Linked DNA regions of Drosophila melanogaster. Changing the gene in region 2 together with the main gene of any one other region gives a genetic interaction. Each region holds a gene or a part of one and is shown on either strand. Other genes may lie near its edges.

What was found.
Region 1: of par-6 (region 2) and Pfdn2, changing one suppresses a phenotype caused by changing the other (phenotypic suppression), as found in Drosophila melanogaster (one study listed by BioGRID).

Annotation. Positions count from the first base shown.
Region 1 is NT_037436.4:11,072,667-11,076,371, forward strand, and holds Pfdn2 (prefoldin 2), read right to left. Parts: upstream 1,723-3,705; 5' UTR 1,581-1,722; coding exon 1,450-1,580; intron 1,346-1,449; coding exon 1,045-1,345; 3' UTR 626-1,044; downstream 1-625. Other genes in the region: Mocs1 (molybdenum cofactor synthesis 1), read left to right, coding at 1-491; Noc1 (nucleolar complex protein 1), read left to right, coding at 2,195-2,923, 2,989-3,103, 3,163-3,705. UniProt on the Drosophila melanogaster protein: Binds specifically to cytosolic chaperonin (c-CPN) and transfers target proteins to it. Binds to nascent polypeptide chain and promotes folding in an environment in which there are many competing pathways for nonnative proteins.
Region 2 is NC_004354.4:17,701,627-17,707,741, reverse strand, and holds par-6 (par-6), read right to left. Parts: upstream 4,391-6,115; 5' UTR 4,092-4,390; coding exon 4,017-4,091; intron 3,371-4,016; coding exon 3,142-3,370; intron 3,075-3,141; coding exon 2,323-3,074; 3' UTR 646-2,322; downstream 1-645. Other genes in the region: CG8173 (uncharacterized protein), read left to right, coding at 1-107; CG8188 (uncharacterized protein), read left to right, coding at 5,533-5,541, 5,966-6,115.

The DNA.
Region 1 (3,705 bases), on a different chromosome or scaffold from region 2:
ATGTCGATGGCCAGGGCAAGGCCCAAATGGTGGATGTGGGCGCAAAACCTTCGACCACAAGATTAGCTCGTGCAGAGGCCACCGTTCAGGTGGGTGAGAAACTTACCCAACTTATAGCCGACAATCAAGTGGCCAAGGGAGATGTTCTAACCGTAGCCCAAATTGCTGGCATAATGGGCGCTAAGCGAACCGCCGAACTGATACCCCTGTGTCACAACATCAGCTTGTCCTCCGTGAAAGTGCAGGCCACTCTTCTGAAAACCGAACAATCTGTGCGGCTGGAGGCAACCGTTCGCTGCTCGGGCCAAACTGGAGTCGAGATGGAGGCACTAACTGCAGTTTCAGTGGCCGCTTTAACTGTGTACGACATGTGCAAGGCTGTTTCTCACGATATCTGCATCACAAATGTCCGCCTGCTAAGCAAATCCGGCGGAAAAAGGGACTTCCAGAGGGAGGAGCCGCAAAATGGGATAGTTACAGAAGTCGAATAAGTCGAATACCCGACTAACCGGATTAACCACGATACGGGGAATGGAAAATAAACTACTGCTTACTTGATTTAGCCACAAATATTAAATTAAAAGACTTATGAAGCAAGAATACATAAGTGTAAAAATGTAGATGAAATCACTTCCTTATAGGAAACTAATTTGACTAACATACCAATAAAATGTTTCAGAACAAATGGCATAAAAGGGATAAATAATCATATAGTTTATATAGTTTTTGTTTCCAGTCGGTGGATAGAGGTCCATCCATTTTCAGATCTTGAATGAATCACAAGACACATGACTAATTTCAATCGGAAGTTTAAGGTATCTTTAATTCGTGGCCAGAGTGGGTTAAGTTTAAATGAGGGGAATTGATGGATAGTGTTGGTGTGAAGGTGCGATTGGAGGCGTTTCGCGAACTGCGCCTTACAGCTAGAAGTACATACAACATTAGAAGTGTTCAATAAACGCGGATTATCGCTCGCAAATCCTGGCAGAGTTCCCTCTCAACATAGACACAATAAATACGGTGTGGTGAGGTAATCAATCGCTCTCAGTTGAACACCAGGACATTACGGTTCTCCGCCTTGTCCTCCGCATCGTCGCCCTTGGCTCCTTCGGCAACCAAGTGTTCGCCGCGAATCTTGATATTGTGCTCCTCCTTGAACTTGTTCAGCTCACTGCCCTTTTTGCTCAGGTCATTGGTGACCATTTGGATGGTCTTGGCGATGAAATCCTTGTTCTCCACCAGCTGTGGCAGCACCTCCTTCACGGTCCTTTCGCACAGCACACCACCAATTTGACGAAAGCATTTCCGTTCGGGATCCGCCGCCTCCAGAGTTTCTATCACAGTTCTAGGGAGGATAAGGAGTTATGTCATTGTGTCTGCAGGGATTCTCCCACTTGCCCAAAATCACAAACAGACGTGTCATCCATCTTTGGGCCCCCGGTGACTCACTTGTGTTCCCTCAAATCCATTTCGAGCGTATTTAAACTGTTGACCAAATTGCGCTGCTCATTGCGCAGCTGTTGGAACTGGGCCACAATGGCCTCCTGGCTGAGTGCCGGCTTCGCCGATTCGGTGCTCATTGCAATGTTCGCTATCCAAAAGGACCCCTTCGAAATCTAGACCGGGATAATCGCTTCAAATTGGCGATAATCTGCGATTTTCTTTCAAAATACGAGACCGAACACGAGGACTATGCGATAAACGTCCTAACAAATCCCAAGCGCGTCAAGGCAGTAAGACCGTAAATGTATTGTGGAAAAATGGTGTAACGGTAAAAGAAAATATAGCACAACTTCAGTTACTTAAACATAAGTTAATGTAATAATTTATAAATTAATAGTAATTCTATATAAGAATTTCAATTTTATTCTTACTTATAATCAGATTATAATAACTTCAAGCTTTATATAACTTCAAACCCACCTGCTATCAAAAGTCACGGTCATTTCAATGGTAATTACTGAATAATTTATAAATTTTAAAACTAAGTTGGATACTCTCTTATTTAAGATTTTAAATACAAAATTTTAATATCATAAAGACAATGAAATTCGTCACTAAGTAGACGACATACATATGTTGCTTACGTTTCGCGGTGAATGTCATATTTGAATACACGTGCGAGTTGTTTCTAACGCCGTTTATTTTATTTAATGATTTTTATCTAATATATAGCTTTAGAAAATATAAAATCATGCCGGCAGCAGTGGCCACAGGTGTGCAATTCGGTGGACCGCCCAAAAACAAGAAAATCGTGTTCGACGACTCCGGCGAGGCGGTAGTTAAACAAAACAAAAAGGAGCACCCACAAAGGCCAAAATTTGAAGGGAAGGAACAGGTGAAAAAGCCGCAGAAAATTAAGTTTGGAGAGGATGGAAAAGCGAAAGGTGCTAAGTCCTTTAATAAGAACCACCAAAAGCCGGATTTTGCCAACAAACCACAGAGAATAAAGTTCGGCGATGATGGAGAACAAGTAGCTTCCAAGTCGTTCAACCAAAATCATAAAAATGGACCAAAACCACAGAAAATCAAATTTGGAGAGGATAGAGAAGCAGTGCATCAAAAACCTTTCAACAAAAACAACCATAAACATAATGGTCAAAAGTCGGACTTCGCCAATAAACCTCAGAAAATCAAGTTCACTGATGATGGAGAAGATGAAGTAACTGCGAATTCTTCCAACACAAAGACGGAACCGACCAAGAAGTCCCAAAAAATCAAGTTTGGAGATGACGGAGAGTCCAAGGAGAACTTTAAAAAGCCCCAACGAATCAAGTTTGATGAGGATGGAGCTGGAAAAAATGTATCCGACAGCGATGGAGACAGTGATGAGGAACTGGGGGACTCCATTTCCAAAAAGCACAACAAATATCAGTCAAAAATAGATGAAGACGAGGAGTCCCAAAAGAAGTGGTATCATGTGGTATGTTGAAACTAAACTGAAATCGTGGAAATAAATCATTTATAGTTATCACTATCGTATCTTAGCATCCCGACTATCCGTCCACCGATGAGGTGCTGGACATGAAGGAGAACGATCAGCTGGAGCTGTACAATCTCTGCAAGAATTCCTTCGAAGCGGAGAAGATAACTTTTAATAAACGTAAGACTTTCTCGACTCGGAAATTGGAACCCCTACTAATGTTTTTATCTCATCTTTAGGTAATCCCTCGGATGCTCGCTGGTTGCAAACCGCTCTGCACAAGGGTACTGCAAAGGATCGGGCCAATGCGGGCGCCCTTCTGGTGACGAGCAATCCACTGGGCAATTTGGAAGCATTGAGCACTTTAATTGGCTTCTGCAAGATCTCCAACAAGGCCAGCAATGATGTGATTGCAGTGCTCACGGATTTGTGGCAGGAGGTGCTGCTCCCGCCAAACAGAAAACTCCTGGCGGTGCACACACGTGGTGCTGATTGGAAAAAGCTGAAAAAGGATGAGAATTTGCGCAACGAACAGAAGCGCCGCATTTACGCGTACTGGCATTTTGAGAGCGAATTAAAGGATCAGTACCACGAGTTCTTGAAGAACGTTATGCAGGGCCTGCAGACTGGACAGGAACACAATAAGAACTCCTCTATTGTGTCAGCAGCCAGGCTGTTGGCCTATGCTCCCGAAAAGGAGCAGCTGCTGCTAACCATGCTGGTAAACAAACTGGGCGATCCCATCGCCAAGATTGCCTCCAAGGCGTTGCATCACCTCAGCG
Region 2 (6,115 bases):
TGTTTTATCTGTGCACAAATGCTCTCAGCGAGGATCGTCCAGCGGCCAAGACCATTTGGCAGTGCCTGGAGAACAATGGCGCAAATGTTGCGACAGAAAGCGATTAGACTGATAATCATTCTCAGCCTCCGAACTCCACAATCTTCCTCTTGAATATAATTTGATTAGATGACTCATTTTTGTTTTGAATGTACAATTAATTAGCTATAATTTTTACCCTGTAAGAACAAACCAATTACGGTTAAAGCCCCAAAACGCGAATGCACACTTAAGCAAATTGTACATATTCAGCAAGCAAAAGAGTGGTCGAATAAATCGAATCCCCAAATGGAACAAAAACTATATCGTTAACTGGTTTTTTAATTCGCAGTCTTCAAAAGGGTATATGTAAGATCTTTTTTGATTAAGGCCCGGCTAATGTATTTAAATTGATTTTTGTAAGCTAAAAATAAGTGAAAGCAATTCAGTTGAATTGAAAAGTATTGCTTACAGAGGGAAACAATTTTTTCGTTTATAAATGCAGGAACCGAATATCATTTTTAACTTTTTTGTATACTTTAACGCCTCGAATTGGTTGTGATATAAACAATAAACTTACATTGTTTTGCTATAGCCTCCCAGGAAAAAACCAATTACACACCAGATCGGTTACAAGTTCTCTTAGGTTTATTAAAAAATAATAATACATACATCAAAATATAAGGTTTTCTTTCGTGATTTGCTTTTCGGTCTTTTCAGTTGCTTAGCGGGAATACACATTAGCTTTTGTATATATATATATATACATGCGTTTGCTTGGAAATCGGGATATTCTGGCGACTTTTGTTCGATGTAAGTTCAGATTTCTCGATAATGCAAGGGTATATGTGAAATGGGTATATGAGGGGAGTGGTTGGGCGGCGATACGCATTTAGTTATAGTTTCAGATTCGCTGCTGTCTATCCTAGATCTTGCTATCTACCCAGGGTACACGTTCGTATGGGGTTAGTTATGCCCGTTGCGACCCATAAATATTAATATTGTTAACTTCAAGTCGAGCAGATCGCATTGCATCCCATCTGCCGTGAGTGGCGTTTTCTCAATTTTACTAAAGCGAATACACAGACTTCAATTCAATTGTGTGTACAGGGGTACGTACATAACATAGATTGTATTCGTTTATATATTCTCTTGTATATATATAAAAAGTATCGAATTGCTCTCTTGAAGGCGAAGGCGCTGTTGGTGTTTCGTTTGTATCTTAACGTTTTGTTAACTTTATCTCCTCGTTTTTCTATCCTTTCTCCATAACTCTAAGTGATGACAATGACAACAAAGAACTTGGACGAGTATTGGACACAATGACGAAAAAACAAAAGTTAAAAATTACAAATGGTTTTTAAAATAAACAGATATAATGAGTAATGCCGAAAAAATAAGAAATTGAGCTAAACAAAACATAGCAGATATACGCAAAATGATCGGCTCAAATTAAAAACAAGGCTTACAAATCAGGAAATATAATTTTGTTAGGCTTTTCCGACTTGTCACAGTACATAAAATGGAATGTTTTTTTTTTTTATAAATTATTCGTGCTCGTATATGTGATTTTGTTACAATTATTGCCGTTTCAAATGGTTAAGTTAAATAAATTGATCTGCCTTCAGCATTTGATGCCCTCTCTCTATTTCACTCTCTCCTCTAGCTGTCTCACTCTAGTCTAATACAACAAGCAAGAATAATAACAAGACGTAAATCTTACAAATTTAAATACACATATATATATATGCCAGGAAAAAAGATAAAAACAAGAGACTGCATTCAAAAACGTGCAAATGAATAGGTGTGTTTTCTTTGACTTTGAGTGTTTCGTGGAATGTATGGAGGAAAGTCGTATGATGATTACACATGTATATACAATCGTGTTTTATATATTGCTCACCTACAATCGGACTGGAAATTTTGCAGAACGTTAAATTTGAATGGCCAGGATTAACAAGAAATGAATGGGATATGGCCGATATGTTGTTTACTCAATCAATCAGGCTTTCAGGCTAATACCAATAGATTTTATAAGGTGACTTTTCAAATCATGGCTGGTTGAGCTATGACAGTCGCTTTAGTAAGTGAGCGATATACAAGCGATCAGTGTACATGTGAATAAGTTGGCCTAACTTGTATAACTTTAAATAATTGACTCGAGTTTAACGAACTTATTCGATCTTAAGGAAAGTTAAGTCTGATAAACTGAAAATCCTCTGCACTTCTCAGCGATGAATTCGCGTTTTCCGTTGCTTAAGTTCTGGCTGCGTCTGCTGGAGGTGCTGTATCGCCGGGTTAATCCTACAAATGCAGCACTCCATCCTTGACATCGCTGGCCATTATCGTGGACGCATTGGAGGCTGCCTGCTGGTGGTGCGACGAGGGTGATGAGGATAATGGCGGCTGATGGTTGTGATTGCCGGCTGACGTGGACGTTGGACTCTCGTCGAGGGTGACGCCCGTTAAGTCCACAATATCGTCCTGATCGTCGTGCTCGATCTCGTCGGAGGTGTTTGTATTATTAGTGTGATGTGACCCACTGGACAGCTGGCTGTTCCTTGAAAAGGATCCGCGATGTGTGGACGTCAGTGTGCGCTGATTGGCCGGCTTCACGGTGATTATCAGATTGGAGCTGTTGGCCACCATCATGTCGGTGACTTGATCCAGAGTCTTGCCAGCCACTTCGATGCCATTTACCTCGATCACCTCATCGTTGACGGCCAGCAGGCCAGTACTTTCGGCCAGACCGCCCGGAACCAAACGGGATATAAAAATGCCCGGCTGCTTCTCTAGCCCACTGGCCGTCACCCTGACAGAGGTGCCATCCCGTATGTAGAATCCCAGGGGCTTATCGCTGCCGTGCTTCAGTAGCCGCACTCTTCTATGCGTTTCCGGCACTATATCCACATCTATAATGGCCGAGACTTGACGGAAATCGTGCGGTATGGATATCGATGGCGCCTTTGTCTTCACTGGCGTATGGCCCATCAGTATGCTGCCGATGAGGTTTCTCGGTTTCATCGTTCCAAAGCCAGAGTACTCATTAAGATCATCTATAGAGTGAACGAAAAGATTGTGGTTGAGTGGCTCGTATTGTATCTTATGCATACCCATACTCACCCTTTCGCTGCACAATGACCCGTAAAAGTGGACGTGCTGTTTTCAGGGCCCGGCCGAAGTTATCGTCGTTGTTAATCGGCAACAGATCATTGTCCCGCGGATCGATGTAGAGTATGAGAAACTGGATGTTGGTCAGCTTGTGCAGCTGCTCAATGAGGGATGCGAATTTGTCGAAGCTCTGCTCCGCCTCATTTCGCTTGAAGCTCCACCTCCGAAACTCTGCATCGAACTAAAGGATACGTATTGATTAGTAAAGGGGCTGAATCTTTTGAAACCCGTATAGTTTGTTCATCAGCATCACCTGTTGATTCAATTGTATGCAGACATTTTACTAATTTAATGGGACCTTCACTGAATTGCAGTACATCTACTGCCTTATAGCTATTACTGGAGTTTATCTTGAAGAATTGTACCTTGACTAATTAATAACTGAAGTTTCCTTCTCTGTAAAATTACAGAAAATGAACGAAACAGGGTAGTTTTTGAGTAAGGCGCAACAGATTGGTTTTCAGGCAAAGAGCCCAAGCAATAAAGGGTGTTGCAACAATCCATATCAGAGCTCAGGAATTCCGACAAGTAAGATGCATTCGCAAGGGCAAATTGTCACTTTTGGGGTGCTTCTAAGATGGAAACCAGTTGCTCCTCACACCTCGCACTCCAAGCATTAATCCCTGCTCTGGCCGCTTTGACACAATCGAGCTCAACAGATAGGAGTTCCCAAATTGGTAGACACATTGCTCCTCAGACTAAAGACCCCCTTTCCACGCACAGAACTCCAATTTAAGCTATTAATCCCATTCCTGAGCGCATGAATCAGCAGCTCAGCGCCGCAGAAAGGGGCGTGGAATCCGGGGGCCACGAAAGTTAGGACTCACCTTCGATTTCACCTCGATTAGATTCGTGTCACTGGCCGCCGTTGCGGACGTTGTGTTTATCTTGTTCTTCGACATTTTCTCCGATCCGCCCGATCAAGAGTGCACTGACAGTTTTCCTCTCCGTTCCTCACACACAACACAAAACACGGCAGTTGAGTTCCGCAGATTCTGATCTGATCTTCAGGATCGAAATCGAACCGATACGCCCGATGCGAACCGAAACCGAACCAAAGTGCAGCGTACCGATGGCGGGGAGCGACGATAGTGGGGGGCCGCCAATAAATTAGAGTTAGAAATCTAAATTAAAACTAATTAAATAAAAAAAATGGATGGATGAACCTATCGGGCACTATCGTACTTCGATATTGGTAGGCACTATCGGTTATCGGATGGTAATAGATCCAGAGTGACCGTGGGGAATGCAAAACCAAAATATACCATTTCAGTTTTCTAAAATACCACAAATATGCTATAAGCAATAGATTTAAACAACAATGAAAGTATCTAAAAAGACTTAGAAATAATAATAATTTGTTTTCAATATAGCTAGCAAAGGTTTTGAATTTATCACAACAATAAGTTTTTTTTTTTAATAACGGTATGTTCTTTGTTTGTTTTTAAATATTTCCCAGAGTAACTTAGGCATGAACCGATGTTGTGCATATATCGATATATCGATAGAGTCTGAGCAGCCATGTTGCTGCGTTAGTGTAGAGACAGTTTGTTTGTGTGGGCTGGGTGGATCTTCAGATGCGCTACATTTGCAAAGTGGCTGCTGTTTGCACGAAAAAAGAGGCTTAACTGTTACAAGACAAGAATTAGCTATATTTAAATGCTCAGTTTTAATCAAAGACGTTTTTTAAATAAATAAATAAAAACCCGCTTTTAAATCGAAGGCAGGCAAGACGCCAGCACGAATATGCCCCAATTGTAGCGCAGCGCCAGCGACGAGGGTTACTGTAAAATGAAACTGTTTTTGTGTGTTGTTGTCGAGCGTGAAGTGTCCAATTAGACAACTGAATTTGTTTAGATGTGAACGCCAGAGTCGAGATAGGTCACACAGCAGCTACGACAAAGTTGAGCGAATCGATTTCAAAACAAAAGCAACCAACGAAACAAAATTTTAAGTCGCTAGAAAAACTAAAAATCAAGATTTTCGAGAGGAGGTGCTATACCAAATACATATATATATATAGTCTTTAAACGAGTGCGTGTGAAAACATAAACCCAAACAACAGACAAGGAGACTAGCGGGGCCAAAGGAAGCATAAGGAGTCTACACGCAAAGGAATAGTTAAAGCCAGCCCACAACGCACATATTCATATATTTTGGGACCACTTTTCCAAGGCAGCTGGGAAAAGGCGGTGAAATTGCGACTATCCGAGAGCCGAAGAGCTCAGCTGCAGGAATAAGCTGACGAAACTGAAACCTTGAGACAGCGATTCGCACGCACACCAGCGCAGGCCCGCATCAACACAGACACACACACGCACAGCAGCAGGAAATTCAGACATCATGAGTTCGGTAGGATGAGCATGTTCCTCACATAATTGTTAGCATTCTAATAATAATAATACGAAACGATTCTTAAGAAGTTGTATCCGTGATTGTAAAGAATCCTATCCAACAGATGCTTCTTAATCTTATGAATGGTTTAGTAGTGAGAGCTTAAAATCGCGTCCTTACAAATACTTTCCAGCATACTAAGAGTATGAATTTCATTAATAAATACCCTGTTTGTGGAGACATGTGATTTTGTTAGTTAAGTTTGTATGTAATAATCCTTGCCTACAAGTACTGTACTGTACTTGCCATCCATTTTTAAAGTTCGTATGTTCCAATAAGTACAATTCCAACTAGAAATAATGACTCAACCCTGTCATTAAAATCAATTTTTGTATATATAAACTTTTGCCATTCCATACTAATGCCATTCCCCCATTTGCAGCAATACTCGAATGTGGAGAACCTGTCGCCGCAGACGATAAGGCAGGTGATGAGGGAGCTGCAGGAGATGGAAACCACGCCACCGGAAGGCATCAAGGTGCTAATCAATGAGAGCGATGTGACGGATATTCAGGCATTGATCGATGGACCT